5 linked regions of the Coturnix japonica genome follow. The protein of the gene in region 4 interacts with the protein of the main gene of each other region in a pairwise test. Links are inferred from orthologs where the notes say so. Each region holds a gene or a part of one and is shown on either strand. Other genes may lie near its edges.

Region 1 (6,091 bases), on a different chromosome or scaffold from region 4:
GCAGCTCTTCTCCCAGCCAAGTCTATACACGACTCAGGCAGACCACAAACATGTGAATACTACAACAGCAGTCTCAGCACAACCGCGTTCAGATTTCCCAGGGAAAGGAAATGCAATACGTGCTGATTATTAACAAGTTTGACATGAAGGAGCAAAGCCACACTGAGGAACAGCTGTGCTGGTACTGCACTCCATGCAACAGCAGCTAGTTTTCTCACAGTTTCAACAAGGGGTTTCTCAGGATTTTCATTGCTCTAAGCAAACAGAAACTCACTGTTCTCCTAAGCAGGGGATCTGGCAGAACAGCAGTGTAAAACAGCACCAAACTGAGCAGCTCCCTGTCCCACTGTCCTATGGTTGGCATACCTATCACTTTTATGAGAGGAACAGGGCTCACGGAGTCACAGCTCAGCTCCGCAGATCACAGCTCAAAGAATCAGTGCAGACACAGAAAGCAATGCACTGCTCTACAAACAGGAAGAGCCAACCCCCAGTTCTGAAGCAGCTGTTCAGCCCACTACTCCACATCCCCTGGGTCCTACATACACTCTGCAACAGGAAGCAGCTCAGCCTAGCGACCAGGCCTTCCCTTCCCAGGCTCTCTGGAGACCTTACAGTCTTCCAAAACTAAAACAAAAGACTCTAAGAATGCTCAAAATGCTTTTCAGACCCAAAGGCATGACTAACAATAAATCCAGAAGTGGGGCCAGCTAAATGAGCTGAGCTAGGGACTACCCTGCTCACCCCATCAATCACTGAGGTCATGAAGCCACTGTCAAACTTCATTATACACAGGCACATTGAAAACATCCCTACCATTTGACTCTACTTCTCCATTAACATTGCTACACAGAATTTAGCAATGTTCTGAAAAGCTACACCAATGCCACACACCTCATCTTGTACTAATACAGAGACCTGCCAAACAACTCAGGATATCTAATTATTCCAATTCCCATTTCCTGTTTTGTCCATGGATACCAACCCTTCCATTCTTACTCAGTTTTACAATACTCACCATCAACCTCTTGACTCCTCACTCCGCAGGTTGCCTTAGAGTTGCTCCACTAAGAGATTTTCCTCCATAATGGTTTCCTGCCCTGATGACCCTAACAAAGAAACCTCTCAGCCAGAGCCCGCTAAATCCCATTCCTCTGCCATTGCACATAGCAGGGAAAGGTGGAAGAGAATTTCACATACATGACATTTATTCTATTCTTAGGTTGAAGCAGCCACTTCTCCCATGTAGTTCTTTTACAAGATTTTATCATCTTCGCATATACACACGCCTTGTTTAGCAAGTTGCTGTTTCATCTGCACAAGTTTTGACTTGTGTACTGTTTGATACCATCTATAAATGCAGGTAACATATCTTTGAAATGAAGGGAGATAAGTAATTTCAAGAAAACACATTTTCCATCCCTAATCCTGATCACATAACTGCTTATGTAGTAAATATTTGCTTTTTTAATGTAAAATCCAAATGTTTTTGTAGTTGGTGCTGCTACAAATAAACACAGAGAGAAGGCAAAAAAAGAGCCAAGTAACCAAATAAACTACTTTGACATCACAGGTAAATAAATTTATATGTAAGACAGCAAGAAAGGTAGGAAAGGGAGGGGGGAGTGGGAAAGAATAGAAAGTGCCACCAATTAGATTCATTAGACAACAGGATTCCTATTAGTAATATATCATACTGAGATAAGAGATGAATGTGTTGGGAGGAAGCGGAGCTGTTGGGTGAAAAAGGATCTGAGATAAAGACTGCAGTATCGTACAGCACGCAGATGTGGCACACCACACAAAGGGGAGACAGGATCCAAATTCTGTGTGCCCCAAAGGAATCATGCTGAACAAAGGAACTGTACTTCAGGCAAAGCACATGATCTCACCGCTCTGTCTGTAGACTTCAGATTAGTCATTAAGCCACCCTACATTTGCAGCATCAATAAACAGGGAAATAACTCCACACTGGTAGCTGCTTCAGTTTTCATATGGCACACTCACATTGAGCAAACGAAGAATGTCAGCAGTTAATTTCAGCTCCTGTTACATAGCATCCGAGACTGGGAGACTTGGTAAAGAAACATCTCTCCCTGACAGCACTTTTCAGGTGAGCAATTAACACAACCTGTGCCTATATGACAAAACAGAGCACAAAGCACACTGTTAAATGTTACACTGAATTAAGTAAGCACCTCCAAACAAGGATACTACAGAACTTCACACAGGCACAGCAGCCTTTGTTCAGTACCAGAGAGCCAAGTTTTTCCTGTGTGACTGCTGATTTACAAAGGACACATTCATCCCTCACACATAAGGGTTTTGCAGCAGTTTGCCTTCGAGAACACTGAGTAGTATTACAGCATACCCCAGGCTCAATCCTAATCCAGGTGACACAGCAAGAAAGGGCTGCTCTCTGCAAAGAGCTAAGGATGAACTCGGAAATCTCTATGGCAACACCACAGGTTCCTCCCTGTTTACCTTTGGGCCTGGTACTCCAAAGGAAGCAAGGAAAGCTGTTGTCACAGGAGGTGTTAATATGTACAACATCCAAAAGCAGGAAAGGCTGCAGACTGCCCGCCACTCAATTGGGATGAACATTTGCTCAAGAAAACCAAATGCCAAAATGAAAAGAAAAATCCTAACTCCTGATGAGCACTCAGGGTGCACCACACACTCCAGTAGATCCCAACTGGGAGGTCAGGTGGTTCGAGAGCTGCAGGAGGCCTGAGCTACGGTGAGCAAAAAGAAAAACCTACCCGAGTGTGCCTAATTTGTGAACAAAGTCAGAATTAACCTTCAGGGTGCTCTGCTTTTGTGAGTACAAAACATTGTTTGCGGTGCTTTTCCGTCCTTCTGTTCATTACAATTAATTCATACTGGTGTTAATAAATCCTCTTTTCTTGCACGACTCCACTACAATTCCAGAGGCAGCGTCTTAGGCCCAAACTTTCTGACTTCATTTTGCTGAAGGGAACAAAGGTTGATTTATGTGAAGTTAAAGAGGGAAGAAGCCAGTGGCAATACAGTGCTTGTCTATGACCACACTTCAGAGTGTTGTGCTGCTGTGTAACTCAGTAGTACAGTGTATGCCAGTAGGTTATTTTCACTGGCCAATCTAAAGGAACTACACAAAAAATGAGTAAGTTTAACAGCAACACAAAGCAAGAAAAAACACACAGAGATGGACACCGACAATATCAAATGCACAGAACATCTGTGGGTTCCTTTACATCCACCAGTCCCACTTTTTAGAGGATCACAGACCTCTAAGCTCAGCTAGTTGTCTCTTTAAATCACATATTTAAACACCTTTCTTCTTAGTTTCAAAACTGCCTAAAAATCCTATTGATAGGAAATGATGACTGGAACTCGGGCTGTAACACCACCATCAGTCTCTTCCCAAAAGAAACCACAGCTTTGATTTCAGCAATAATATGGGGGAACACTGATATGAAATAACTACCTAGACTTGGAAATTACACAACACAAAAGTGAATAAAGAGGAACTTTTCTTCCATTTTCACAAGTTACTGAAAGGCCAATTGCAAATTAGCAAGTAAACGGACAAATATGAAGAGACAAGAACAGAGATAATGCATCTCAAGGTAGTTTATGCATCTCTTTCAAAACTCTATTTTCAATTGCCAGCAGTGCTTGCCAGTATATGCTCACTTATATGCATAGAAAAGCTTTTATTATAAAGGCACTTCACTAAAGAGCTCTTAAAGCACTGTTCAGAAGCACAGCAAAAAGTTACTCAAACACATGTACACACAGATTAGCACGGATTACCCAACATCAATGAGCTGCTCTCCATTGAGATGTTGGCAAGGACAACTCAAGTGTTTGCAGGAAGTTTTGCTTTGCAGTACTGTGTATCCAAAAAAGCCAGAAAGTCAGCTGATGTGCCTGATGCATTCTACGCCTTCCCTTCTGAATCCCTTTGAGAAGATCGAGCTATTTTCTGGTGTTACCCACAGCTCCAGCCCCTCACCGGTACTACTATCAGAAATGACTCCTGCTCAGGCTGACAGCTGAGCAATAGAGGGGAGAGCAGCTCACCTGCTCTGCCAGCCACACCATTCAGTGCTCATTTATGCAAGGACTGACACACAAACGTGGCTTTTTCCCCACGAATATGGCAGCTTCCTTTTTAAACCAAGTTCGGAGATACCAGACTGCTGACTTCTAAGAGCATGTCTACTTCCCTCACAGCAGTTGGTTATGTAGATGTATATACATATACACACTCACTTATATATGTTTGTGTATATACATACAAACCTACAAATCACACACATTTATGTAGTAATATAATTGCTTCCACACTAACAGAGGTGGAATTTTGGGGTTAAAACAAGGAGGAAGGAAAAAAAAAAAGTGTTATTTCAGAGTTATAACAAAGTTTCCTAGGCAACACCGTGCTAACCCTCGCCAAGACAAAAACTCCGGGGAGTGAAAACTAAGCAAGCAAAGCGGGTTTGAAACTAAGAAGCAAGCAACGAGTCTTTGTATCTAACCCCTCCGCCCGCACCGAGCGTCCCAAAGCCGCCCTACCCACCCGAAGCTCGGATCCCACTCGGAGCCCCTCCTGCCTCGGGGAGAGCCGCTGCGGGACGGACCGGGCACCGTTACAGCCCCGCTGCGCTCCCGGCCCCCGGCCCCCCTCCCAGGCGCTGGGCCGCCCCTCAGCCCCCGGCCCCGCTCACCTGGGCCGGTCTCCTCCCTCCCGCTGCCGCGGCGCCGCCTGTCGGTGCCGTCCGAACGGGGCTGCGGCCGCCACATCCCGCCCCCCGGCGGGACGAAGCGGCTCCCCCCGGTCGCGTCGAGCGGGGCGGAAAGCGACGGCCCCGGCCACTCCCCCGGCGGCTCGGAGCCACGGGGCGCGGCCCGCACGACGGCACCCGCCGCCCCTCCTCCGGGCCGGCCTCCTGCGAGCCGGGGGCAGCCTCAAGCCTGCAGCGTACGGGCTTTGGACTAGCAGGGGGAGATGGAGGTTGGGACCCGAAGCCCCGACTGCAGATCGTTTCTGAATTCAGCACGGCACGCACACAACGAGGAAACACGCTGCTCATTGTCTATATGTAGTTTCAACTTGGCACCAGTGTCTGCACTGTGTGTGCTTCCATTACTTCTCATAGAGTCACAGAGCAGCTTGGGTTGGAAGGAACCTTAAAGCCCATCCAGCCCCAACCTCTTGCCCCACATCAACTCATGCTGCCCAGGGTCCCATCCAACCTGGCCTCAGGTACCTCCAGGCAGACAGCTGTGCCAGGGCCTCACTGCTCTCCCAGCGAAAAAAATTCCCCTGATATCTGATCTAAATCTTTTAATTAAAATCATTCCCCCTTGTCCTATCGCTATTACTTTTGCAAGTCTGTGATCCATTGAAGTCAAACCACAACTTCACTAAGATCCTCCAGTCCAACCATCAGCCCACCCCCACCATGCCCACTAGATGACATCCCTTGGTGCCACGTTTCTTGAACACCTTCAAGGATGGTGACTCCACCACCTCCCTGGCAGCCTGTGCCAGTGCCTCGCTACTCCTTGGGAGAAGACATTTTCCCTGTTATCCAACCTGAATCACTCCTTGGCTATCACCATATTCACTATATCAACCATTTTTCAGTATTAATTTCATGTTAAGCATTTTTCAAGGTGCCCTCCATCCTAGACTTCAAAGGTGCCTTCTCAGTTATGCATAGTGCTACCATACATTAAAACATCACCTTGTGTGCTGAGAAGTTTCTATGACATTCAGAGACACTGCTACAGAAAAGCCTCGCTTTAGTTGACAGCTAAGAGCTTACTGATATTCTTGTGTTTCAGTCCATTTATTAAGAAATACAGGACGTGTTAAGAGAGATGTAACCTCATACTCCAGGCTCTGCCCTTCCTGACTTATGAGACAATATAATAGACAGCTGTGCCTCACAAGCCAAAAATAGACACACATCCTCCTTTCATCAAATGTGCAGTGCTGCTGCTGATTCAGATGATGTCAGCTTATATCAGTACTAGCTCCCATCACTCAGAGATCAATTTGTCATAAAAGAACAGCTGCACGTGTGCAAACAAAGGG
Region 2 (5,529 bases), on a different chromosome or scaffold from region 4:
ACATCTGGCTCAGCATCTCATCATCCTAGCTCAGATGTTTAAGAGATTCATTGGTGCTACTGGAAATATGAGCTCAAAGGCAAAAGCAACAACTCTCCATGTTCATTAACAATACAGCTGCCAGTGCTAGCACTTGTCGCAGGGGCTGTATGATGCTGGAAGGCACAGAGGAGCGCCTGCAGAACATGGCACCCCTGGATGAAAGGAGCTCAGAGGCCTGCACCTGCTGTGACACCTCCCCCCAGCACAAACACAGCTCTGCCTCCTCCCCTTCGTCAAAGAAATGCACATACCCCATCAGAGATGAGGAGAGCATGTCTGGCAGTACAGATAACCCACAGCCAACACACATGGAAGCATGGGAGCTGGGACAGGCCCTAAGCCAGCAGCTCCCCTGCAGCCAACTGTCATCTTTAGACCAACCTACAGCTCACCCCGGCTTTTGTCCAAACTCCCCATGACCAACAAGTCCTTACCTGAGATGTGAATGTTCCAGGAACGCCAACCTGTGGGCAGCTCAGAGCACAAACCCAGACCAAAGCTGTTTGTAAAACACACGACCATGTGGGCAGGTGAATGACTCATAGCATAAATGGCACAGAGAGAACCCAGGATGGAGCTGAAGATTTCATCTTTGTTCAAAGAACTGCAAAAGAAAGGCAGAATAAAAGGACATGTTGATTCAGAAGTCCTCCACCTTTCCAACCGTGGAATGCAGAACTGCCCAGCAAGGCACTGGCCCAATTCTGGCATAGCAGGAAGGCTGCAGCCTGCCCACAGGCATCACCTTGCTGAAAACATCTGCCAAACCCAATGGAAAGGAACTGGAAAGTGAGGGCAAGGGATGCTTCTGTGCCTAGGTTTGTCCGTGCAGAGGTTGTGAAGGCTCAGCTATGGGAGGAGGTTCAGGAAGAAAGGCAACTCCACAGCAAACAAGCTCTCTCACTCATTTTGTTGAGCAAGGAGTAAAGGAACAGATCTCAGATGTATTCCAGTGCTGCAATTCAACCTGACTGGACAGTATCCAAGGCACGGCCTGGATTGAAACAGGCTGATAGCAGCCCATGGCAGCTGCAATTACCTCTGCTGGACAGATGGATCTTGCTTGTGCATTCCCCCCCACATCCAATTTCATTGTCACTTCCACCTACTGTTCTTTCTTTTGTAGGAGCTGTGGCCACAATCAGAATACAGCTATTCACTTTTCAGTTACCTCGCAGTCCTTGAAGCAGCACACAAGCAAGATAAAGAAGCCAGATATTACACAGATATTATCAGCAAAGAGCAGAAGATGAACCAGGAAATAAGAAGAAATTTCAACAAGAGAAAAATAACTGGGAAAAATGCGGGTGGCCCAAAGGAAGAGGAATCCTATTTCTTGCCTCTTGAAGAACGTGACTAGAGGGAAAGGATGGAAACATTGTCTGAATTGTTCATCAAAGATCCCAACAAGAATGCAAGATGAGCCAAAACCTCTACTATGTAAATCTGCAGGAAGAAGAAAAGGCACATTTTTCCACTTTGCTTTATTTTACACATATAAAATACACTTAAAATACTTCACATTGATTTTAGCAAATGCTTCTCTTCTAAAAACACCACAAAGTCTTTGCAGGTGGGCACACAGACCCGTCTCTCTCCCACAGCCTTCTAGCCCTTGGAAGCTGCCCAACATGTGGTGGGGGCACAGTTCCAGTCTGAGCTGATGCAGGGCATTCCTGCACATGTTCTTCCCAGCATCCAGCCTGCTGACTCAGCTCCTCAAGCTCCAACAGCAATTGCTTTGCAGGTACCTCCCTCTGCTGCAGTTTGAAACCATGCAAGGAAAGCAGTGCTCCACCTGAGTGCACTTGAGGAAACGTCACGCCTGGTGTCCAAAGTGTCTGACTATCTTTTCACTCTCTTTTTTCAGTTCCTCTATGTGAGCATCCAGGCACTCCAAGATGTGCTGGGATCTCAGTTCTTCCTCTTCCAGGTATCGGGCAGCTACTGAGCCAACTGAAGATGTAGGCAGGGGGCACTGAAGAGAGAAAGGGGCAGTGGGTATCTTGTTATTTCAGCTTTCAATCAGAAACACTGCCAACCAGTGAGACACCTAACTAAATAGCCCTCTAATTAAACAGCCCCCCCCGCATTTCTGCAACCCTGGCCCCAGGAGCATCATTCGGAATTGGCTGCTTACCTTCAGAAACTGGACTTTCACTTCTCTTACCAACCCCTCCACTGAAGATAACGAGAGGGTTTATGCTGTCACAGTACGATTCCAGAGCAGGGCACTGCAATCCCCCAATTGCTCTGCCAGTACCAGCCCTGACTCACTGCAGTCTGCATTTTGCTCCTTGTCTTCATAAAAATCCCCATGTGCATTACCATCTCACAACAGGGTTTCCAGAGAAGAGAACCGGGCTGCCAAACTGGGTGAGCACCAGGAGTCCCTCTATGCTTCCTTTTGTTCTGTATTAATGGCTTTCTGCTGCAGTCCCAAAGGGAAGCACAGCCAAACTCCCATGGCAGCTCACCGAACTGCCACGTCCATTCAGCCAGCAATGAACTATTCCAGATTCTTTCCTTCACAGTCAATGATTGTTCCTGCTAGTCATATCACTTACCCGCGAGTTCTGAACTTACACAGCAATAACACTGTAAGCTAAGCTTAAATGAAGGGTTGAAGAGAAACTTCCTGCACTGGGTCAGGAAGGTGAATTACAACAGGGCTGCTTCCCATTACAGAAAACTTGCCTCGGTGCCCTGGCAAGACAGTGTAACTGGTTATTCCCCAGCCCTGGAGACTCATGGCTTTCTGGCCTTTCTCCCTCTCAGACCACACTAAGCAAAAGACAGCGCATTCCCTTCTACTAAGTATCAACCCCTAGTGCTCCTCAATGTCTGACGTGGAACTGTTTGCATTTTAGCCCTTATCCTGCAATCTAAAGAGCTTCCATTCAGAATTTACAATTCCCTCAGCTCCTAACATTCATTTTCTGGGCATGCCCACAAAGCAATTTCAGCCTTGAAACAATTAAGACCTATTTTTGGTCTCAAAAAGACCTACAGACTTGACAAACCTCCTCTTACCCATACCTGGGCCCCACAAACTCTACTCTGAGTTCCCCATAAATTACAAATTGCTGTTGTCACGACTTACAGTACACAACCAGGGGGGAAGAAATCTCTACAGACTGCCAGTGACCACACATCTGGAGCAAGGAGCAGTACTCAGGCTTCAAGGCCTTCCCATACTACAGCCCCGCTTTGACATAGTCCAGCATACAATCAGTCTTGATGTCCCACTGCTACCTTCCACCTCTTCCCTGTTCAGTCAGTCTGCAGGCCAGTAATCACAGCAGGCATTGAGATATACGGTCTTAAATACCTCAGGCAAGAAGTGATTGAGCTCAGATTTCCTTTATGGTGGGAAAATGCTTCAGCAGCTGGGCTACATTAAGAGGATGGAGAAGGTGCAAACATTGCTTCCTATGAGAAAGATCACTGACTGGGAATATAACAACCTCTGCTTGTGTAATGAAGCGCTTCTTCCAGGCTCTCTTATCAGCTAACATAAATGGTGCAAAGCGCAACATGCTGACTACTGCAGTCCCGTTCAGAGGGGCCAAATTCACTGTAACGTGGTCCCAAACCAAAAGCTCAAGCAGAACTCTGAAGCAGCAGAGCAGGCTGTGGTGCACACTGATGTACAGCACTGGTACAGGGAGAACCACGAGCTTCTGGAACTTGCTCAGTAACAAACAGAACCTCACCCTAGAGAGCTCTGCTCAATAATTACATGACTCCCCCTTGTCCAAGTCATAACCATCCAGCACTGTTTTCACTGTTTTAGGCTTGACATATGCACACACCACACAGGCAGATCACAGATTCAAAGATCTGCTTCCTTTTGCCATATGAGAACTCAGTTGCATTACCAGTAGCTGAATGGTAAAACGCTTCTATAGAACCACTTACCAAAGGTACAGATTCTTGTTCATGATCCGACTGTTTGGATGCTCCATCTGGAAAATCTTTGCCATCATCCAGCACAAGGATGTCACCTGCAGCAAGGGTGGGTGACTCTGCACAGTTCCTCCTGTTGGTCTGTGTGGGTAGCTCAGCAGCCCCAGGGATAACAGCTCCCACTTCAGCAGGCAAAGGCTGGTTCCTCCGTCTCTGATGATGCTGAGTAGTCTTGTCAGGCTTGTGATGCATTTTCTCAGTCTGCTCATCCTGTTTATGCTGTGATTCTTGAGTTGTCCTGCAAGACAGGTGTGGAAACTTACCTGTCTGACAGTTTGCCTCTTAACAGCTGAATTTCAGCAAGAACGTGTGCAGAAATAACACTTAGCAGGCAGTTTACTGATAGGCAGTTTGGACTGTCAGGGCTCTCTCTCATTTCCACAGAACCCCCTGATGCACATCCAGTCATCAGGGAATTCCCTCACTCTCCTGCTACTGTAGATACCAAAAGCTACCATATGAACACATGCTAGAATGGAGAAGAGCTCGGCCAACTGTGCCAAGCCTAATCCTTGAACTGAAAGCAGCACATACTGCTTCTCTATCTAGAACAGAGGCGGTCAAATAATAGCTGGCTTTGCAGAATGCAAATCAGCTGGGACTAAAAACTACCGCCCTACTTCAAGCATAAAGGCAGATTCCTAAACAGTCCTTTTTGTTCTCACCTATATATCACATGCTGGAGAAAGATGCTGTTCATAAAGCACGTCATTAAAATCCCACACATCTTCATTCCTTCTGTTCTCCTTCATGGTAAGGAAACAGCATCCTTGGGTTATGCAACACTCACCTGTACTGCACATCCCTGGGCTCAGGCTCTTGGCTTTGCAGCTGCTGAGCGGTGCCCTCAGGTTGACTCTGGCAGACCTGGGTCGTGAGCTTCAGTTTCTCCCTGGCCTCTGATAGATCCTTCTTCAGCTGCTGGTTCTCTGATTTTAATTTGTTTAATTCCACAACATAATCTTCACTGAGTGCTCTCAGGGTGGCATCTTTTCCCTAACACAGAAGGGCTGATATTGAACACAGGTTTTGCAAGATACCATTAGACAAATCCAGAGCAAAGTCTGGCAAGTAATCCCTTAAAACATATTCTACAATCCCACTTTTGACTGGCAAAATTTTCACAGCTTTCATGAGAGCAAATCAATTACAAATGCCTCATTGTGTCTGCACTGAGACAACATGTTCATCTGCCTAGGAAAGGGAATCACTAGCGTCGCTGGCTGATGCTTTTAAAAACAGCCATGCAAATATGGACCAAGAGTTGCTCAGATGTAGCTCTAGGCTGGTAGTACTTCCTAAGCTGGGAACACTTGGGTGACACCCCAACAAACTGCCTCAGCCTGAGCAGCAACCCAGACAGCACAACAGCAAGCTGTACTGGGTACTTCTTAGGGGTGTGGGGGAACACATACCCCAGTGGTTTAGCTGCTGCTGAGAAGTAACCACTCTCACTGTCAACAGCTTGCTCCTCCCCATCTTCTCCCTCCCTAGACCCACCCCCCCACGTGGACCTCC
Region 3 (5,390 bases), on a different chromosome or scaffold from region 4:
AACTTTGTCAAGCATAAGAAAGGTTAACAGAGACTTTCACAGAATGGTTGTGACTATCTGTGAGGCAGCAGTTTAGAAAAGCGCTTGCAGTTGTCAGGTACGCCATCAAATGCTACAGGACAAGAGGTAAAGGCCTTAAGTTGCACCAGGAAAGGTTCCAGTTGAGTATTAAGTAAAGTTTCTTCTCAGAAAGAGCGGTACTGCATTGGCAAAGGTTGCCCTGGGAGGTGGGTGACTGGGAGGTGGTCACTGTCCCTGCAAGAAGTATGGAAGTACGGCATTGAGGTGTATGGTTGGTGGGCACTGTGGGGGTGGGTTGATGGTTGGACTAAACAATTTTAGAGGTCTTTTGCTGTCTTAATTGTTCCATGAAACGGTTTCATAATTAAGAAACACATGAGCTATTGTATCGTATTTATACAGCAGACCATAATAAACTTCACTGATGTTTGGCTGTGTTATTCCTACCAGAAAGGCTCTTTCTCCTGGTCCTGGAACCATAGTGTTGTGTTTCACATCCATGCCTTTCTGCTTTAGTTCCCAAATAAACATCTTATCCTGCCATCTTTCTCTAGCCAGGTGGGAAGCCAGCACTAAACAGCTAGCAGATGTCAGGCTTGGACTGGAGATTGCCCTTCAATTAAGTTTAAATTTCCCTCTTTTATCTAGTATTTAGTTTACAGTGTAACTGGGGGGGTGGGGAGAGGTAGGGGGGACTGTTTTCTAGAGGACAGATGGGGTGGCTTTGAAGATTGCTGAAGGACAACCTCAGACTCTCCCAGCCAAAGTAGATAAAAGTTTATAAGTAACCAGCAAGCCCGCCACACCCCTGCCCTCCTGGGCATCCTGCTGCTTGAAGGCAGTCATGCAGGATCATGGAATTGGGCAAGAATGGAGCCCTGGCCCAAGCCCTGCTCCAGCAGGGCCCCACAGCAGTCTCCAGGTCCCTGCCTGAGCGCTGAGAGAATGACCATGGTCCACAGGGCTCTGCAACAGCCCCCCAGGACCTGGTTTACAACATGATGCCATCAGGAAGGCCCAAAGCAAGAAGGAGGGCTCTGGAAACGCTGATTTCCACAGCTGAACTCCCATCACTTTGTGCCTTTTCCATAAAGCTGCCAAGGAGATTGTATGATGGCTGCTGCCTTGTAAATCCCACCAAACCAAGTCGAGCAGAAATTCTCAAGATTGAACTGGTGGAAAGAATGGTAGCAAAGAAAAGAACATGTGACCCAACAGGTAAGAGGGAGTGTGTGATGAAGTGCTCAGCGGCGCTGATGCAGCATCCTGTACTCATTTCTGAGACCTCAGTTTCCACACAATAAAGCTCACCAAAGCCTGCACAGAGTTAACAGATGGAAACATGAAATATTAACAAGTGACTCCCATAAGGCTCTAGTTCAAGCCTCTGGTTCAGCAGCACTGCACGTGGGATTTCTGCTTTGCTGTGGCCATTCAGCAGCTTTGTTCTGAGTGACTCGCTCTCCTCCCAAAAGCCCATAAGGCACAAGTGGTGGGATGGGTGGATTTTGTTTGTACTGAGGAGACAGACAGGACAGTTAGTGGTGGCCCGAGGCCACCATAAGCCACCATTCTCCCCTCAGCTCAGCACTCTCCAGGTGAGACTTCATCAGTGCCCTCCCCAAGCCAGTGAGGAACCATACCCAGGTGACATTAAGGTGGAGAAGCTGAAGGGGCCGACCATATAAACAAAGGCAGGGCCATGTGGACAATAAACAGTTTATTACCAATATGAACACAGATACTGTGATGCAGACGTACCATTTTTCTTTTTCTTTTTTTTTTTTTTTTTTAATATTGTGATAACTCTGAGACAAAGAACTTGTTGGCTGACAACTAACATGTCTCTTTCCTTCTGGTGATGCCACAATACGTTTCTGTTGGCAAAGGATCTTCATTTACATTGCAGACTACTAATAAAATTACTTTGAAGTCATCTATCAAAAGCAAATGGTTCACGTGTGTTCTTATCTACTACTAAAAAGAAAGATAATACATTTAAATAAGCAAATACAAAATACAAAAAAGGCTGACAAATCCAATGTGCAGTGTCAGATGAAATCTAAAAAATCCAGAAATTTAAAATTTAATATTCTTTAGATTAAGACTTTTAAAATGAAGCAAATCCAAGGCAGCAGCAAGCTTCAAAGTGTGCTGAGTCTGCTAATAAAAAGGGTATAAGAACAAAGACAGTGCCGGTGTCCTCTCTCACCATCTTGCGTGACCTTGGGTACACTCGGAAATGATTCAATCTTCCTAGCATTCTTAAGTACCGTCCAAATGCTTTGCAATCATGTTGTACTGATCCTACTCAACTCCTGCCGTATGGCTAGAAAACCAAACCAAAAAGTTAGCGCAGAACATTCTACCCCGCACATAGAAAACGCTAAGTACAGAGCTTGCAGGAAGTACACGCCGGTAAAGGGATGAGTGGAGGGTAAAGGGATGAGTAAGGGTGAGCAGTCAGCTGTTTGCTTGCAAACTGCAGTAGTGGTTTAAGTGGCATCTGCGATTCATGTGAATGTCTTATTTTGCACTGGAATGAACTGGGGAGTCTCTGAGGGCCAAGCTGCTGGGAACATAGCGAACGGGCAAGGGTGTCCTCAGCTGCCAATTGCCCAGCTGTTATGAGCACGTGGTGCTGGGGGAAGGGCAGCGGGCATGGCTTTTAGCTGTTTGACAGTCTCCTCTTTTTCCCCTTTCGTATGAAGCTAAGTTGGGAAATGCAGGGTGTGGACGTGGATCTTTGCACACCCTAAGGCAGGTGTCAAATAAATAGGTACTTTGCTGCACATGTCAGTAATAGCAGCATTATGCTGTCTTATGTTGGCCTTGAAAAACATATTTTGTCAGAAAATACAAAGCAATTTATAAAAAAAAAACCTGCTGAAATCTTTCATTTCACCGAGTTAGAAAAATACGAGGCTATTCAGATTGAGTTAACTTGAAATAGTTTTTTGAGCACAAGCATCCTCCAGAGGAGGCTCAGGAAGGGTTTCCAGTTTGGTACACTTGTCCCCTCCTGTGCCAGACCAGTTGTAAGCAATTTCACACTCCTTGGTTGTGATAAACTGATGTGCCATGGGCTATGGGCCGGCCCTTTCTCCCACCTCCCCCTGTGAGTGGCACAGGCCAGTGAATCTTTCACAGGTTGGGGTGAAAACGTGTGTCAACAGCATAAAAATAAAGGATGTGAATATAGTGTTATGACCAAAGCTCAGTTAAGGCAGAACGTTTTTCTTCAGACCCAGACAAGTCTGAAAACACCAGGGAACTCCCTGTAGTGCCTATTGTCTTATCTACAGGAAATTAGTCATAGAAGTGAGAAAAATAATGATTTTCCTCTTTCTTACCATCAATTATCTCCTCTTTCACTTTGTGTAACTCTCTTACAACTTCCTCCAATATTTCCTGATGAGACAAAACACAAGTCAGCTGCTCAGCATTTCCTTCTGACTGGTGGAAGAAAACTCAAGTTTAACATGGCTGTGGTGGGTTCCCCACCTTCACGGCTACTCAGAGCCTATTGCTGCTTGCAGCTATGGCTGCACTCTCAGGCCAAGGGTGCAGCAGAGGTTGGGGCATTTATTTGCACGTTTCGTACAGACATCTTGCTCAACTAGCAGTGAGATCGTGCTCTCTTGCTGCTCACCAGCTATCCCTTCTCTAAGCACCTAGCTGTAGAGGAAACCAGAAGACTGAACAGCTGTTTTGCTTGTACAGCGCATGCATGGGGGAAAATGGGTAGCTCGTCAACTCCAAGTGTGAAAAGACCTTTCAACTCACCTGTTTCATCCGATCAAAATCTAAGGCATCCATAGCCACATCATTGCTGCTGCTCACTGGCTTCATCCTTGATAAAGGGAAGAAGAGAACAAAATACCGGCCCATCAGATGCCTGCTATGCGTGCTGAGCCATCCCCCCACAAAGGCACGGGTGCAGCCAGTGCCAGACCAGCAGCACTCGTATGGGAGAGCTGGACTTTCCATGTGCTGCTGGGCTGCATCCTCAAGGAGGCTGCTCCTGCCCAGCCTCACCCCCAAGGAGAGGATGCTCTCAGGCTTCAGCAGAGCAGAGAACATGGGTAAAACTGTTCTGAAACCTAATTCAGGCTTTTTTTGGGGTTGTAGTCCTCGATGGCTTTAAACTACCGCATACTGGGGTGACCTAATATACTTCATTACAGTAGTGGCAATTTGCAAGATAGATGTCTGGTTTTCTATCTTCCTGAATCCATTTTTTGTACAACCACCCTGTCTTGGCTATCTAGGCTTTAATAATACTTAACAGGCTGCTAAAATAATAGTAAAACACAAGTTAGCACAAGGCAAACCAAATAATAACCCAATAATCCTTTCCTTGGAAAGGTGTGACACAAGCAGAGCTTTGTGATAACACTGCACAGCAAAGGCACTTCATCTTGACCCAGAAGCAAACAAAACCTGCCCTTAAGGCCTGATACATTTGGGTGTTATCAGCCTGCCTGGATTGTATTAGTTCACAAGCTGAACTCTGCCGATGGCAATGAAGTAAACATAAAAAAGCAGAAGCTGTCTGACTTGCTGTCACAACCATTCTAAAACATCAGAAATGAATCATGCTAAATAATTCATAGAAGAAGTTTCAAATAACTTTGCCATCATTTCTGGGCCTAAGCTGAGGGCTGGCTGAGATCCCATTGCCTCTGTGTGTGTGTTTGGTCTCCCATCTCTTTCTCGGGAAAACCTTCACATTTTGCTACAATTTCAAAATGAAGTTGAGATTGAGGACAGATACAAACGCCATCAAACTGATTGGGAAGGAAACTGGGCATTGCTGGGAGCTTCTGCACAGTGCCCCACTCCCCCTGCAGAAGTTAGACAAGCAGCAAACACTGAGCATTACTCAGGCATTAAGCTGCCAATGGATTTTCCCCCACTCAACTCCTTCTGAGGTAGAATGACTTTGTAGAAGAGAGTTGGCACAAACTTGATGGCTGCTTTAAATAGCCCATGTTTCCGTTCCCTTCTGCAAGGAGAAGAAATGGTCTTTCCTATATCCAATGGAAACTCACACAGCAGTGTCCCACTGATTTTAGGAAAGCAGGAGACTGCATTTCACCCTAGGAAGACTGAAGCACCCTTTAATTTTTGGACAGGGCACATTCTGGCATCTGTAGCACAGGGATAAGTAAGTGCAGACAGTTGCCATTGACAATTTTCTTCCTGCAGACTTTCAGCACTGTGGTACAAGTAACAGTGCAAAACAAGGGGCATTGCTTTCCAGTAAAAGATAACTATATGCAAGTCATTTGATTTATCCAGCCATCTCAGTGCTTGGTACTGCAGGAACATGAGGTAGGCTGGCCAGCTGGAAGACGATTCTCTCT
Region 4 (6,139 bases):
ACACTGAGCGCTGCACAGCAGATTTTGGCAGCTTTTTCCAAACAGCTACACAAAGTTGAAAGACGAAAACCACCGTACTTGGAAAGCAATCAGATATCACTATATAGAGATCATGCACCCAGCACTGGTGACCCCAGCAGCAGCACTGCAAGGTTCTGTGCTGTGTCTCACTTGGCGATGCAGCCCCAAGCCATGGGGACACCATCACTGCTTCCATGGGATCCAATCACCCGTGGCTTTACTCATAGAAAGGAATCACCCTGCCTGCTGCTGCCAGGGCTATGGCACAGTGGGTGCACCTAGAAGTAAGAAGGTGTCCATCATACACACCATGCTGCAGATCTTAAATGCAAACGAGGGATAATTAATGCTCAGTCATTTAGCTTGCTATTAATTTAAATCTAGAAAATAGAGAAGTGCCAAAGGCAGAATGCAGCAGAACCCCAGTGCTCCTGGCTACCAACGTGGGTCAGCCAAGGACTGCACAGCCAAGCCAGGTGCTGCAGCATGAAGCCCAACATGTGCTGGAACTGCCATGTAGGGCTGTAGGATCACACAGACCAACTGCAGCACAGGGAACATCCTAACTCTGGGGACACATTAAGTTTGCATTGCAGGGACACAGAAAAAAGATCTGCTTTGTGTTTGAACTAAGGCAGGCTGCAAACACACTGATGCAGGCTGATGAGGGCTTGTGCACAGCCAACCACGTTTCAAAACCTGCATGGCAATTAAAGACCTGCTCATTTATAGGCATGTTAACTTTCTCATTCTGCAGCCAAACCGGTGAAGCTGCAGAACAGGGCTGAACTGCTGCTCTGAATTTGGTGCCTTGATGCAGAACTGGGTTGCTCTGCTTTTGGTGTCAGTGCAGCACTGCTCCAACACAGCACAGCACCCCAACCGCACTGCAGAACCGCAGGGCGACAGGTAATGGGATGTTACATAACACCCCCAGCATGCTCCGTTCCTGTCAGTTCTTCATTATAATGCTAATCCCAGCACAGACATTCACCTGACTCATTTCCAGATAGAACCTGGCTGCTGTGTCAGTTTGGCCCCCGTTTTACCATCTCCAAACTGCAAACAGCACAGATGGACAGTGAGAGCGCAATGCGTGGGCTGTACGTCTGTGTGAGTGGATCTAATAGGAACCAGAACTGACTTTAAACGTACAATGTGCTGTGATGTAAATCCATCATCATTGATTTCCAGACAGCTAAAGAGACATCGCACAAGAATCCTCTAAAACAAGGAGCTCTTGGAAAATTAATCCACAGCAACAGCCAATTATACTGAACTACGAGGTGTTCACACATCATGCATCGTAGAAATTAGGAAACTCAAAGTATTAAGGAAAGCCAGATGAGAATGAACAGAGAAGTACAAATAAAGCATTTGCTATGTCATACAAACTCTCAAACCAATGGGGTTTTGTTACAGACAGGTCACTGCAATAAAGGCAGGCAAGTATGGCGACAGCAGCACATGCATTACGTAGCAATACCTGGACTTTGACTTTACGAAACGATGACAACATGATGGAGGAATGCAGAGTCTAAAAGGGAGGGGGAGAGCGAGATAACATTCAGCTCACTATGAGTGCAAGGACATGGCTTTGTTCTTGTCTCCTAAAACACAAACCCCATCACAGCACACACCACACGCATCCCCCTTGGTTCTGTGCCACACACAGCAGTTCAGTGTTCCACAAGGCAGCAGAACCCCCCATGCAAACAGGTTACCATCACCAGCAGGAAGAGTTAATGCGGTCAGTGCTAACCTTTCCGGTTAACTGAGACAAACCAAGCCCTGCCATAATCTGAAGGTCAAAACAGACACTAAAGGAAGTTCTCTGGACTTGGCAAATGACGCTCCTTGTGACACAGTAATCAAATGGGGTGGGCTTAATTTCAAGGCACAAATACAACGAGGTCTCAAATACCTCCAAAGATATTTCATTCCAATTGCCACAGTTGAAAAATGAAAAAAACCAACAGTTGCAGCAGGAGATACTTCTTGAGATGGCTCATTATGTAGTTGTTAAGTATATCTAATCCAATACATTTCCAGCTGAAAGCTGCCCTGCTGCTCCCAGCTCTATTTTCCCTGTGAGTACACACTGCAGTCCCTGGAGCAGCCCACAGACAAGCGCAGTTTGCTGTCTTTGTGCTCGCTGAAGCCACTGCATATCTCCCATGGCATCTGCATAGCTGAGCACGGATCGGTGTCAGCAGGGAAGGCAGCCTGCCACCCGTTTGATCAGCAATATCGCGGGGCTATGCTTGGCAATCCCCACCAGCAGCATCTGCAGTCTGCTCCACCCCATTCTTCTGCTGCCTACACTCCAGGGCCAAATGGAACAAACAGACTCCCACACTACATGAACACGCAGGAGAGAAAAGGGAGGAATTGGTGTCATTTCTTCCAACGCAAGGGGAGCGATCCATTTCACATCAGAAAGCAATGTATTTATGAAGCACACAACTGCGTGCCATAAATACATGATGTGGATAAAAACAAGCCGACAGCGACACTGAGCTATTTGCATTGAGTTACCGGGATGAGCTACGTGTGTAATAGTTGAGAAACAGGGATTTCACAGCGAGGTACCACCCTGCCTTAGGAGATGCACGGCTCCTCCTGCCTTCCTCCTCCTGTGCAGGAGAAAAACATGCAAAGATGGCTTAAAAAGACAGCTTAAAGAGATAGCCCTCACCTTCTGATATCCTTGTTATGATGTTACTTTGATATTACACATACATCTGTCCAACTCCATTCGCCGTGGACCTCAAGGAAGCATCACCCCTAGATGTGATTTTATAGATGCAGTTCCATCCCAGTGCATTCAGATGGAGTTTCTCCCACCCCCAAGCAGTGACAGAAATAAACGACTCAATGCAAACAAGGGAACCTGCTCCTTTGCTGCCAGCACTTGCACTGCTGCACTCAGACCCTGCACGCAATGCAGCACAGCGCGCCCTATTTCCAACCTTTTGTTCATTATTTATAACCAGTTCAGCACAAACAACCACAACCCATCGTTAGGTGCATTTCAAGGCAATGGGAATGAGTCGTACATGGCAATTTAACCATAGCTTTGGAAATAGAAATGTATATTAAAGAATGGAGCCTGTGAGCAAGGCCATCCATGGAACCCAGCCTTTGGAATCTTCTGGCACTTGGCTCCAAGCACAATGCCAGAAGAAAACAGATACGATGTTTTCTTTGCCAGATAGATACAGAAGCATTTCAGGCAGGTTGGGGTTTGTTGTTGTTTTTTCTCTTCCCTGATGCGTTCATTTGCCATCTCCAGACAACTGCAGCTCAGAGCCCACACACACAGTGCAGTGCGGATGGCAGGGCACACACACCGCCATCCATCCATCCATCCATCCATCCATCCATCCATCCATCCATCATCCATCCATCCATCCATCCATCCATCCATCCCCACACCCAGCAGGGAGCTGCAGTGGATCGCACACAGCTCCGTTCAGCCCTTCGTGTACAGATCTCACCTACCGAGGCACCAACCACTGAAACCCTAACAGAGGGGGAAAAAAAGGGAAAAAAAACCAACAACTGTATTTCTGGTTGTTGTTTTTTCCCCTTTTTTTAACACAAAGAGGCTGCCAGACGAGGATCGGGCCCTGTGGTGCCGCAGTGCCCGCACTGAGCTGCCGCCCCTCGCTCCCCTCAGCCGCTGACCTTGGCGGGCGCTGTGGAAGCCATTGCTGCCGGCGGGGCCGCCTGTCACCGCCCGTCCCCTCCCCTCCCCTCCCCGGGGCTCTGAATGGAATTCCAGCCGCCGGCCGAGCCCTCCCGGTCGGATGTCGCTGCTCCCTGCTCCCTTTATCCTTTATCCCCCCTTCTCCCCCCTCAGGGCACGACACGCGCTGAGATCCCTACAGGGACAGCGCTCAGAGGCCTCCCCGCGGCTGAGGGGAGCGCACCCCTGTCCCCACAGCGCTGGAGCGGGCTCTGCTCGCTCCAAGTGAAGCGGAGGAAGCCGCCCGCCCGCCTCAGCCCGCCGCCTCACCGGCTCCTCACGCAGTCCGCCTCCTCCGCGCCCGCCGCCCCTCCGCTACGGACACCGCGCGCCGCCGGCGCCGCCTTTTATACTGCGACAGGAGATGACGTCAGCGCCGCAGAACGGGCTCCCGAGTGACGGAAAGTGCCGAAGGGGTTCGGAAAAAATCGGCGGGGGAAGGGAGGGCCCCACCCACCCGAGAGCAGCAGAAGGGACAGAGAGCGCATGCGGACAGAGCCGAAGTGTTCCGGAAAGTGCCGAGTGGCTCCGGAAAGAGCCGAAGGGCGTGGCGGGATGCCTGAGTGAAAGGGCGGGGTGCGGGCGGGAGGCCGTGGCTCGCTCTGTGGCCCTTCAGTGAACCTTAAAATAATATTAATTAACAAAAGAAAAACCAACCAAACAAAAAACCCAACAAACCCAAACGGGGCAGCAGCGTTAATTATTTACAATACCAACACAGCACGGCGGAGATGGGGGTCTCTGCTGCCTCCTCAGCCCCGCCGGGGCCATCTTCTGCTCCTGAGGCGCAGAGCTGCTGAGGGGCTGAAGATCCACTGCAGATTTCACTGTTAAAATCAATAAAAGTCGAAGCAGCCTCAGCAGTTCTGCGTTATTAAAGGTCTGAACCATGGAGGCTGCCGTTCTGGTGTCAGTAGCTGACAAGGCTCCCCACAGCTCAGGCTCCTCACCTGGCACAAACCATCTATTTTTAAAGGCATAAATCCAAAGGAAAACGAGCCCTTAGGATGAATAAGATGTCTGGAATAGACACATGAGAAAGGCTTGGCCGAGTCTCTCAGGTTTTGATAGGCAGAACGCCATCAGATCAAAGCACTGAGGGGGATTCGGTGATGTGTGAGTTAATAACACTTCTATTTAAGTGCTTAAAGGGAAAAAACACTCTTGCATCAGAAGCCGTAGGACTGCATGGAACCATTGTCTCTAAGGAAGATTAGAGTGACTCACAGCAATCTTAGTGCATCTGGTCCTGAACACACAGCGCCTGCACATGAGATGCTGGCATTTGGGACTCAAATGTGTGTATGAAAACAGCATTTTGGTGTGAGCACAAGACCTTACCTGCACTGGGTCACCAGCCACCAGAGCCACATCCAGCCTGGCCTTGGATGCCTGCAGGGATGGGGCATCCACAGCCTCCTTGGGCAACCTGTTCCAGTGCATCACCACCCTCTGGGGGAAAAACTTCCTCCTAAGATCCAACCTAAACCTGCCCTGTCTCCGTTTCAAACCATTCCCCCTTGTCCTATCACAGAAACCAAAGACTTGAGCATTTTCAAGAGTACCGATTCAGATGCAGCTCTGGTATGTGATACAAGGAAACTGGGGGAGATTTGCATCATACTCAACAGCCACCAGTAACACTAACCAAATTAATTCCAGCATCAGTTTACAAAGACCGAATACAAACAGGGTTTATTACTAATTTTCAAGTCCAAGTTCAGTACTTAAAAAAGGCCCAAGTGCACCATAATTCATTATAACCTTTTATCAAAAAAACTTCAGATCTGTGCATTAAAAACCTCAACCATTTCACATCAACGTACAGCACTCAGCTCCACTCTTTACAGCTTCTAATTCTGAAAGCCTTCATGAATATCAAAAAGCTATCTGATAAAAATAACACTTTTAATTGGCAGTTGTCTTGTGCAAAACCATGCAGCGCCTTCCTGAACTCTGAAGCTGATTTTCTCGTCTTGGAAACCACCAAAATAGTTCAAGAGCAGCAGTGCACACCAAAGACACCTCCTACCACCCTCATCACCCACATCCACCATGAAGGAAGCCATTGGGTTTACTGCCATCTCCCTCCAACACCTATAGAAAAGACATGAGCTGCCTCAGATTAGCACGAAAGAGAAAGTTAATACATATTTTAATAGCAAACAGACATTTAAAAATGAACTATTCTCAGAATAATCCACCGCTGGTATAAAAGTATTACAGTACTTGATAAAAACAGCATAAAGTCGGAATGAATATGCTGACATTAAAAGGCGCTTGTAAGATGTGATACAGAGCACTGCAGGAACTCAATATGCCACCTCCCCCTAAAGTGATGGCAGAACATTGGACAAAGTGCTGCGA
Region 5 (5,123 bases), on a different chromosome or scaffold from region 4:
ACCATAGCTTGAGTTAACATCGGATCTTTCAGATAAACTGGCAAAGCATTTGAATTGGAAGTTTTCTACTTAAATCATAACAATACAAGAGCAGTATTATTATTATTATTTTATTATATTTAGTTCATTATTGCCCTATTTTCTCAAGATTCCTCACCATGTAGATCAACATAATAAAAACTGAAAGAAATATGCTTATGAATGTGCATGTAGAACTGTAACATCACTTGAAGCATTGCATTGGCTCTGGACAAGACAGAATTAATTTTCTTCATAGCAGCCTACATGGTGCTGTGCTTTGGACTTGTAGCTCAAACAGCACTGATAACACCACAGCATTTTGGCACAGCAAGACTTTCCACACATGTCCTGTCCTCCTCTTGCCTCCTCCATAGTAGTCTGGAGATGGGCAAGAAGCTGGGAGGGGACACAGCTGGACAGCTGAGAAGCTCCTAAGTGTACTCTTTAGCATACAATGTAATACTCAGCAATAAAAAGTGCAGCTAGAGGAAGAGACGCTGTTTGTCCTCAAGGGTGGCTGTTGTTCAGAAAGAGGTCAACCCACAGAAAGTTAAAAGTGGTAACAAGAAGTGCGAACTAACCATAAGAGAAAGTTGTATATGTACTTTAAAATTATGTAGGGTAGTATATAGCTAGAATGAAGTATACTTACATTTAATTTTTCAAGAGGCTGTCCAAGTGAGTAGACTACATAAGACTGAAGATGTTCGGTGTATTTCAGTTTGGCTTCTTTTTTCTCAGCTTCAAGACAAGAAATTTTCAACCGAGAAAGTGTTGCAAAAATATGATGGAAATTCTCCATCATCACCACATCTCTGGGTGTTTTCTGGCTTTCATTAGCTACTTTTTCAACTAAAAGATAAGGGAAACAAAATATTTAGAACTCCTAAAGGGCAACCAAATTCGGAAGAAAACATAACTGATGAAAAGAAAAAAGTAAGGGATTCTATCACAGTGATAACCATGTGTATGAACGATAATCATAACAGTCACTAAATAAATATTCGAGGGCTTTCAAAAGAAGCATCAGATACATGCAGGCTTTTACTTTTAACCCTCCCAAGTAAAACAGAGCAGGTGTAAGAAATTCTACTTATTGACCCCCTACTGCATCTGCATGCATGCAGGCCAAGGAGACGATGGTTAGAATGCAGATTAATGCAGAATTAATCTAAGAATGCAATTAAACCTCTATGCCCGCTCATCCATCATTTCATTGAGACTATGAAGTAGGAAAACCACCATGAAAAATATTTATGAAGCATACTCCTGGGCACCAAGGTACGAGTCAATATCATCAATTCATTTCAGTTAGATCACTGAAGCACCAATCCCCATCATAATTACTTGTTGAAGCTCATGCTGTACTAGTCAATTATTTTTTTTTCTAAGTTCAACTGAAATCCTTTTAAATTTCTTTTAAAACGTACTTTCCTGAATTCTTCCTACAGTAGTACTTCTATCAATGTATGGTTTGACTGTTAGCGTCTGCCTGGTTTCATCACTTGAACAATCAATTCTAAAGTACTGAATAGTTGGACGCAATCAATGTTGTTAAAATTCACTGCCCTACTAACTTCTACTGACTCTTTATGAACTGTAGTCCACTATATTGTGAAATGATGCATCTTCACAACCTCCTAATGTTCAGAACTCCTGTGCTAGTTTCCTCAAACAAGCTTTATTGCCAGAACTCTTCCCTCTTCCTCAACCTCCCTCAGGGAAAAAGGCAAGTCTCAGTGATTGGGAAGTACTACAGGTCGAGCTGTTTCAAAGGATGTACATAAATCAACATGGAGAGGCCTCTCTGTTGTTTAAAAGGTTATGACCATTTTTCTGGCATTTCACTTCTTTTACTTCACCTTCATCTATTTCTTTTTTGTTAATAACAAGGAGAACAAGACTGTTCTGGTTTTCCAGATCAGAGCTGGAAAAACAGGAAGGGATGGGAGAGGCATTCTACTATGTCAGGAGGACCTCATCTGCTATGATATGGTCAAATTCATAGCCAGAACACAAGGCTACATTAGAACTGAATGAGACAACACAGCACTGAGAAGCTGTACAGCATTAGAATGAAATGACAGGGATTCCATCCTGTCTCATCTCCTCATTTAAGCCAGACTGGTGCAGAAAAGCCAGAAAACCACTTGAGACTTTGGCCTGTAGTGTTGCAGTTCTCTCCCCCCTCCTTCCTGTATCCTTAACCACTTCCCCTGTCATAACCGAAAGTTACTTTGTATATATGTGTTAAGGGAAATATCTACAGTTTGCTTTTAAATATTTCATTTTATCAAAATGTTTCAACTTGCTTCTATAAATTAGGTTGTTTTTTTTTTAACATCAGTGCAATGTTGGTCATGTGGTTTACAATATAGAGTCTTAAAAAAAAAAACATTATCAATTAAACAGAGCAGAATACACCTACACAGGAGGAATTAATAAGTATTACGAAATGGGAAGACCTACCGCTGATAAAAACAGCTCTAATAAGTTTTATATATGCTTTGTCCAGATCTCCTCGTCGTTCTGCATTTTTGAAAATTGATTCAGCAAGGGCTGCAAACTCTTCAAATTCAGCAACAAATGGAAGGATCCCGACTTTACTTTTCTTTGAGATTTTTACTTCATCCATCTGCTTCATTTGATTGCTCTTGAATTGAAACACAGAAGTTATTCTCTACAATACAGTTCCAGACCATAACTAGTAATAACCATAACTAGTAATAGAAAAAAAGTAAACATACTGAAAAAGTAACATGCGTCTAATCAGGGAGATCATTTTATCTTTTAATTATTGTATCTTCACAAATTTGTTAACAGTAAAAACTGTGAAGAAAGAAAGGCAAGTAAAATCTTCAAGACTGAAGTTTATAATCTTCAAGTTTTTATCTTCCTCTGCTTGCTTATTTAGCATTAAGAAAAAAAAATACCACAAACAATGAATCCACAACTTATTCACCAGAAGCAATTAACAAATTATATTTAAGACTTCCATTCCACAACTTCACTTTTCAGCATCAACCCAGCAAATGATTCATTTGGCCACAGAAAGCTTCTTTAATCTCCTGTTGAAATTTTGTTTTTAAGAATAAGCTAAAAAATAATAACTTCCAAGTATCTCAAGCATTCCTCTGACAATGAATGATCAGTGTTACCAAAGTGGCCTGGAGTCAAATGACACTTACAACAATAATAGCAAAAGCAACAGTCACACAAACAAGTATTTGTACTAAGGCTGCCTTATTAAGAATAGCAAACTTTCTCCGTGGCAGAAACTGGCAAATATGTTGGTAGTAGGAGAGAAGTCTTAATGTTTCACAAAAATCTGCGTTTTGTTTAATGATAAAAATACCTGAATGCAAGGAATAAATGTCTATTCAGTATATTACAAAGATTCTGATTTTCCCTTAAGTCTGTGAGGTTGTTTTGGATTGTTTTGGAATGTAAAAAAAAAAAAAAAAAAAAAGTCAGAGCACTATTGATTTTACTTGATTGACTTCAGTAAAAGTTTAAAACAATTACAAAAGTCAGCCAGCTCACATAACTGAAATGTTGAGGACAAGAGGTTGTACGTCCTATGGATAGCTCATCCTTCAGGTAAACTGGGATGGAAAGGGAAGAGGGAAACAACTGCCAATTACTATTTTTTAATAAATATTTTTTAATAAAAAAAGTTTGTCCAATGTAACTGTAGTGCAGACACTCATTTTTGCTTCAAATTAAAACAAAAAGTCTTAAAATCCTAAAATCAAATTGAATAGGTGCAGGCTTCCTAAAGTAATAGAGTTATCTTAAACAGAAAAACTAAAGAACTTACAATGCATTTATCAAAGTTCCTTTTGACAGTCACCAAAACATTTCCGAGTGTTGTGCTGAGAAAGGAAGCTGGGTCCACATTTTGTGCAGTCCAGACGTGATGGCTCATCTTAACTAACATATAAAGGGAATTAAAGCTATCAATCTTGTCCCCCAGTGCTATAAGATTGTTCAGTTCAGGTTCAATACAACGAAATATTTTTGTCATCATTTGTCGGATCATGTCCTTCCTAGGAAAAATACATAAGAAAAATATTACGCTGACAGTTTACTGGATTATTTCAAGTGTTCTTTGATACATGTTTTTTGGATAAATTTATTGCCTGTAGCAATAAATGCAACCAGCATGTCTCATGATTTTCTGAAAGCTGTCTCACTGTAAAAATCAACAGTCACGGGTATGAAATATTCCAACACAAAATTTTCTGTATGGAAACGGCCACACACTTAAATTCAGAATTTTACTAAGCGTATTTCATATATTATGGAGTCTAGTTTCAATTTGCAGTTATGTATTTATTTATTCTACTAAAGACAGAAACATTCATTCCATGAACAAGATTTCTTTTAATATTTGCTGATGTATTAAAGTGACTGCTTACAGATTTAGAGTTTACCATTCATTTTCACTAAAAGGGTGCAATTTGTTATAGAATTTTATAATCCAAAGAAATTCACGCGTAGGCTTAAAAAAGAATAAACAGCATCAGCACATACTCAGATGATACTGGCTGTGGAACACCAGAAATGTAGGAACGAGATAAATTTCCTCCATCCATTTCCTCTGTTTCATTCTGTAAGAACAAGGAGTGTATAGATATATATGTATAAATAAAAAATATATATACACACACGCAGTTGAAAGTTTGTCTTAAATTCTACATACAACTGACAAGGCATGTCTGATGAAAGCACTAAAATCATAAGCTTCCCCCACCCCACTCCAAGTAAATACAATGGTTGGCATGGTTCTGGTATAAGATCTCCAGTATACACACTATATACAATTACTCCCCATTGCCTTCCTACATAATATTATGAAAAGGCATGCTTACTCTGAACATATTGGGAAATAAGACCATGGCAAAAGAAACATGCCAGTTCTTCCTTAAATAACTGTTGTACTGTCAGCAAAAATCCAAATGTTGTTCTAGCTAGCAGACAAAAACAAACTACTCATCACCAAAATCACTTAGTTGCCAGATAAATTCCAACGTTAACTTTTAAATGGGTCTCTTGTGAGACTTGCTCAGTATTTTTAAGTTTTGCCACTGTAGAAAGAG

Evidence for each region.
Region 1: the proteins of SPTAN1 (region 4) and DISC1 interact in binary tests that used the Homo sapiens proteins (3 or more experiments, as listed by UniProt). The link is inferred for Coturnix japonica from reciprocal best matches to the Homo sapiens genes SPTAN1 and DISC1.
Region 2: the proteins of SPTAN1 (region 4) and CEP63 interact in a two-hybrid assay, tested with the Homo sapiens proteins (2 studies listed by BioGRID and IntAct). The link is inferred for Coturnix japonica from reciprocal best matches to the Homo sapiens genes SPTAN1 and CEP63.
Region 3: the proteins of SPTAN1 (region 4) and EVL interact in binary tests that used the Homo sapiens proteins (3 or more experiments, as listed by UniProt). The link is inferred for Coturnix japonica from reciprocal best matches to the Homo sapiens genes SPTAN1 and EVL.
Region 5: the proteins of SPTAN1 (region 4) and EXOC1 interact in a two-hybrid assay, tested with the Homo sapiens proteins (2 studies listed by BioGRID and IntAct). The link is inferred for Coturnix japonica from reciprocal best matches to the Homo sapiens genes SPTAN1 and EXOC1.

Annotation. Positions count from the first base shown.
Region 1 is NC_029518.1:35,650,738-35,656,828, forward strand, and holds the start of DISC1 (disrupted in schizophrenia 1 protein), read right to left. Parts: upstream 4,869-6,091; 5' UTR 4,792-4,868; coding exon 4,716-4,791; intron 4,685-4,715; exon of another isoform or gene 4,568-4,684; intron 3,902-4,567; exon of another isoform or gene 3,824-3,901; coding exon of another isoform or gene 3,799-3,823; intron 1,110-3,798; exon of another isoform or gene 1,019-1,109; intron 6-1,018; exon of another isoform or gene 1-5. UniProt on the Homo sapiens protein: Involved in the regulation of multiple aspects of embryonic and adult neurogenesis. Required for neural progenitor proliferation in the ventrical/subventrical zone during embryonic brain development and in the adult dentate gyrus of the hippocampus.
Region 2 is NC_029524.1:2,657,267-2,662,795, reverse strand, and holds the end of CEP63 (centrosomal protein of 63 kDa), read right to left. Parts: intron 5,008-5,529; coding exon 4,802-5,007; intron 4,250-4,801; coding exon 3,964-4,249; intron 2,021-3,963; coding exon 1,862-2,020; 3' UTR 1,510-1,861; downstream 1-1,509. UniProt on the Homo sapiens protein: Required for normal spindle assembly.
Region 3 is NC_029520.1:44,082,680-44,088,069, reverse strand, and holds the end of EVL (ena/VASP-like protein), read right to left. Parts: intron 3,875-5,390; coding exon 3,808-3,874; intron 3,433-3,807; coding exon 3,375-3,432; intron 2,351-3,374; coding exon 2,313-2,350; 3' UTR 1,723-2,312; downstream 1-1,722. UniProt on the Homo sapiens protein: Ena/VASP proteins are actin-associated proteins involved in a range of processes dependent on cytoskeleton remodeling and cell polarity such as axon guidance and lamellipodial and filopodial dynamics in migrating cells.
Region 4 is NC_029532.1:3,863,300-3,869,438, reverse strand, and holds the start of SPTAN1 (spectrin alpha chain, non-erythrocytic 1), read right to left. Parts: upstream 4,116-6,139; 5' UTR 4,043-4,115; intron 2,639-4,042; exon of another isoform or gene 2,560-2,638; intron 1,559-2,559; 5' UTR 1,541-1,558; coding exon 1,508-1,540; intron 1-1,507. UniProt on the Homo sapiens protein: Fodrin, which seems to be involved in secretion, interacts with calmodulin in a calcium-dependent manner and is thus candidate for the calcium-dependent movement of the cytoskeleton at the membrane.
Region 5 is NC_029519.1:58,586,938-58,592,060, forward strand, and holds part of EXOC1 (exocyst complex component 1), read right to left. Parts: intron 4,635-5,123; coding exon 4,558-4,634; intron 4,071-4,557; coding exon 3,842-4,070; intron 2,675-3,841; coding exon 2,491-2,674; intron 874-2,490; coding exon 674-873; intron 1-673.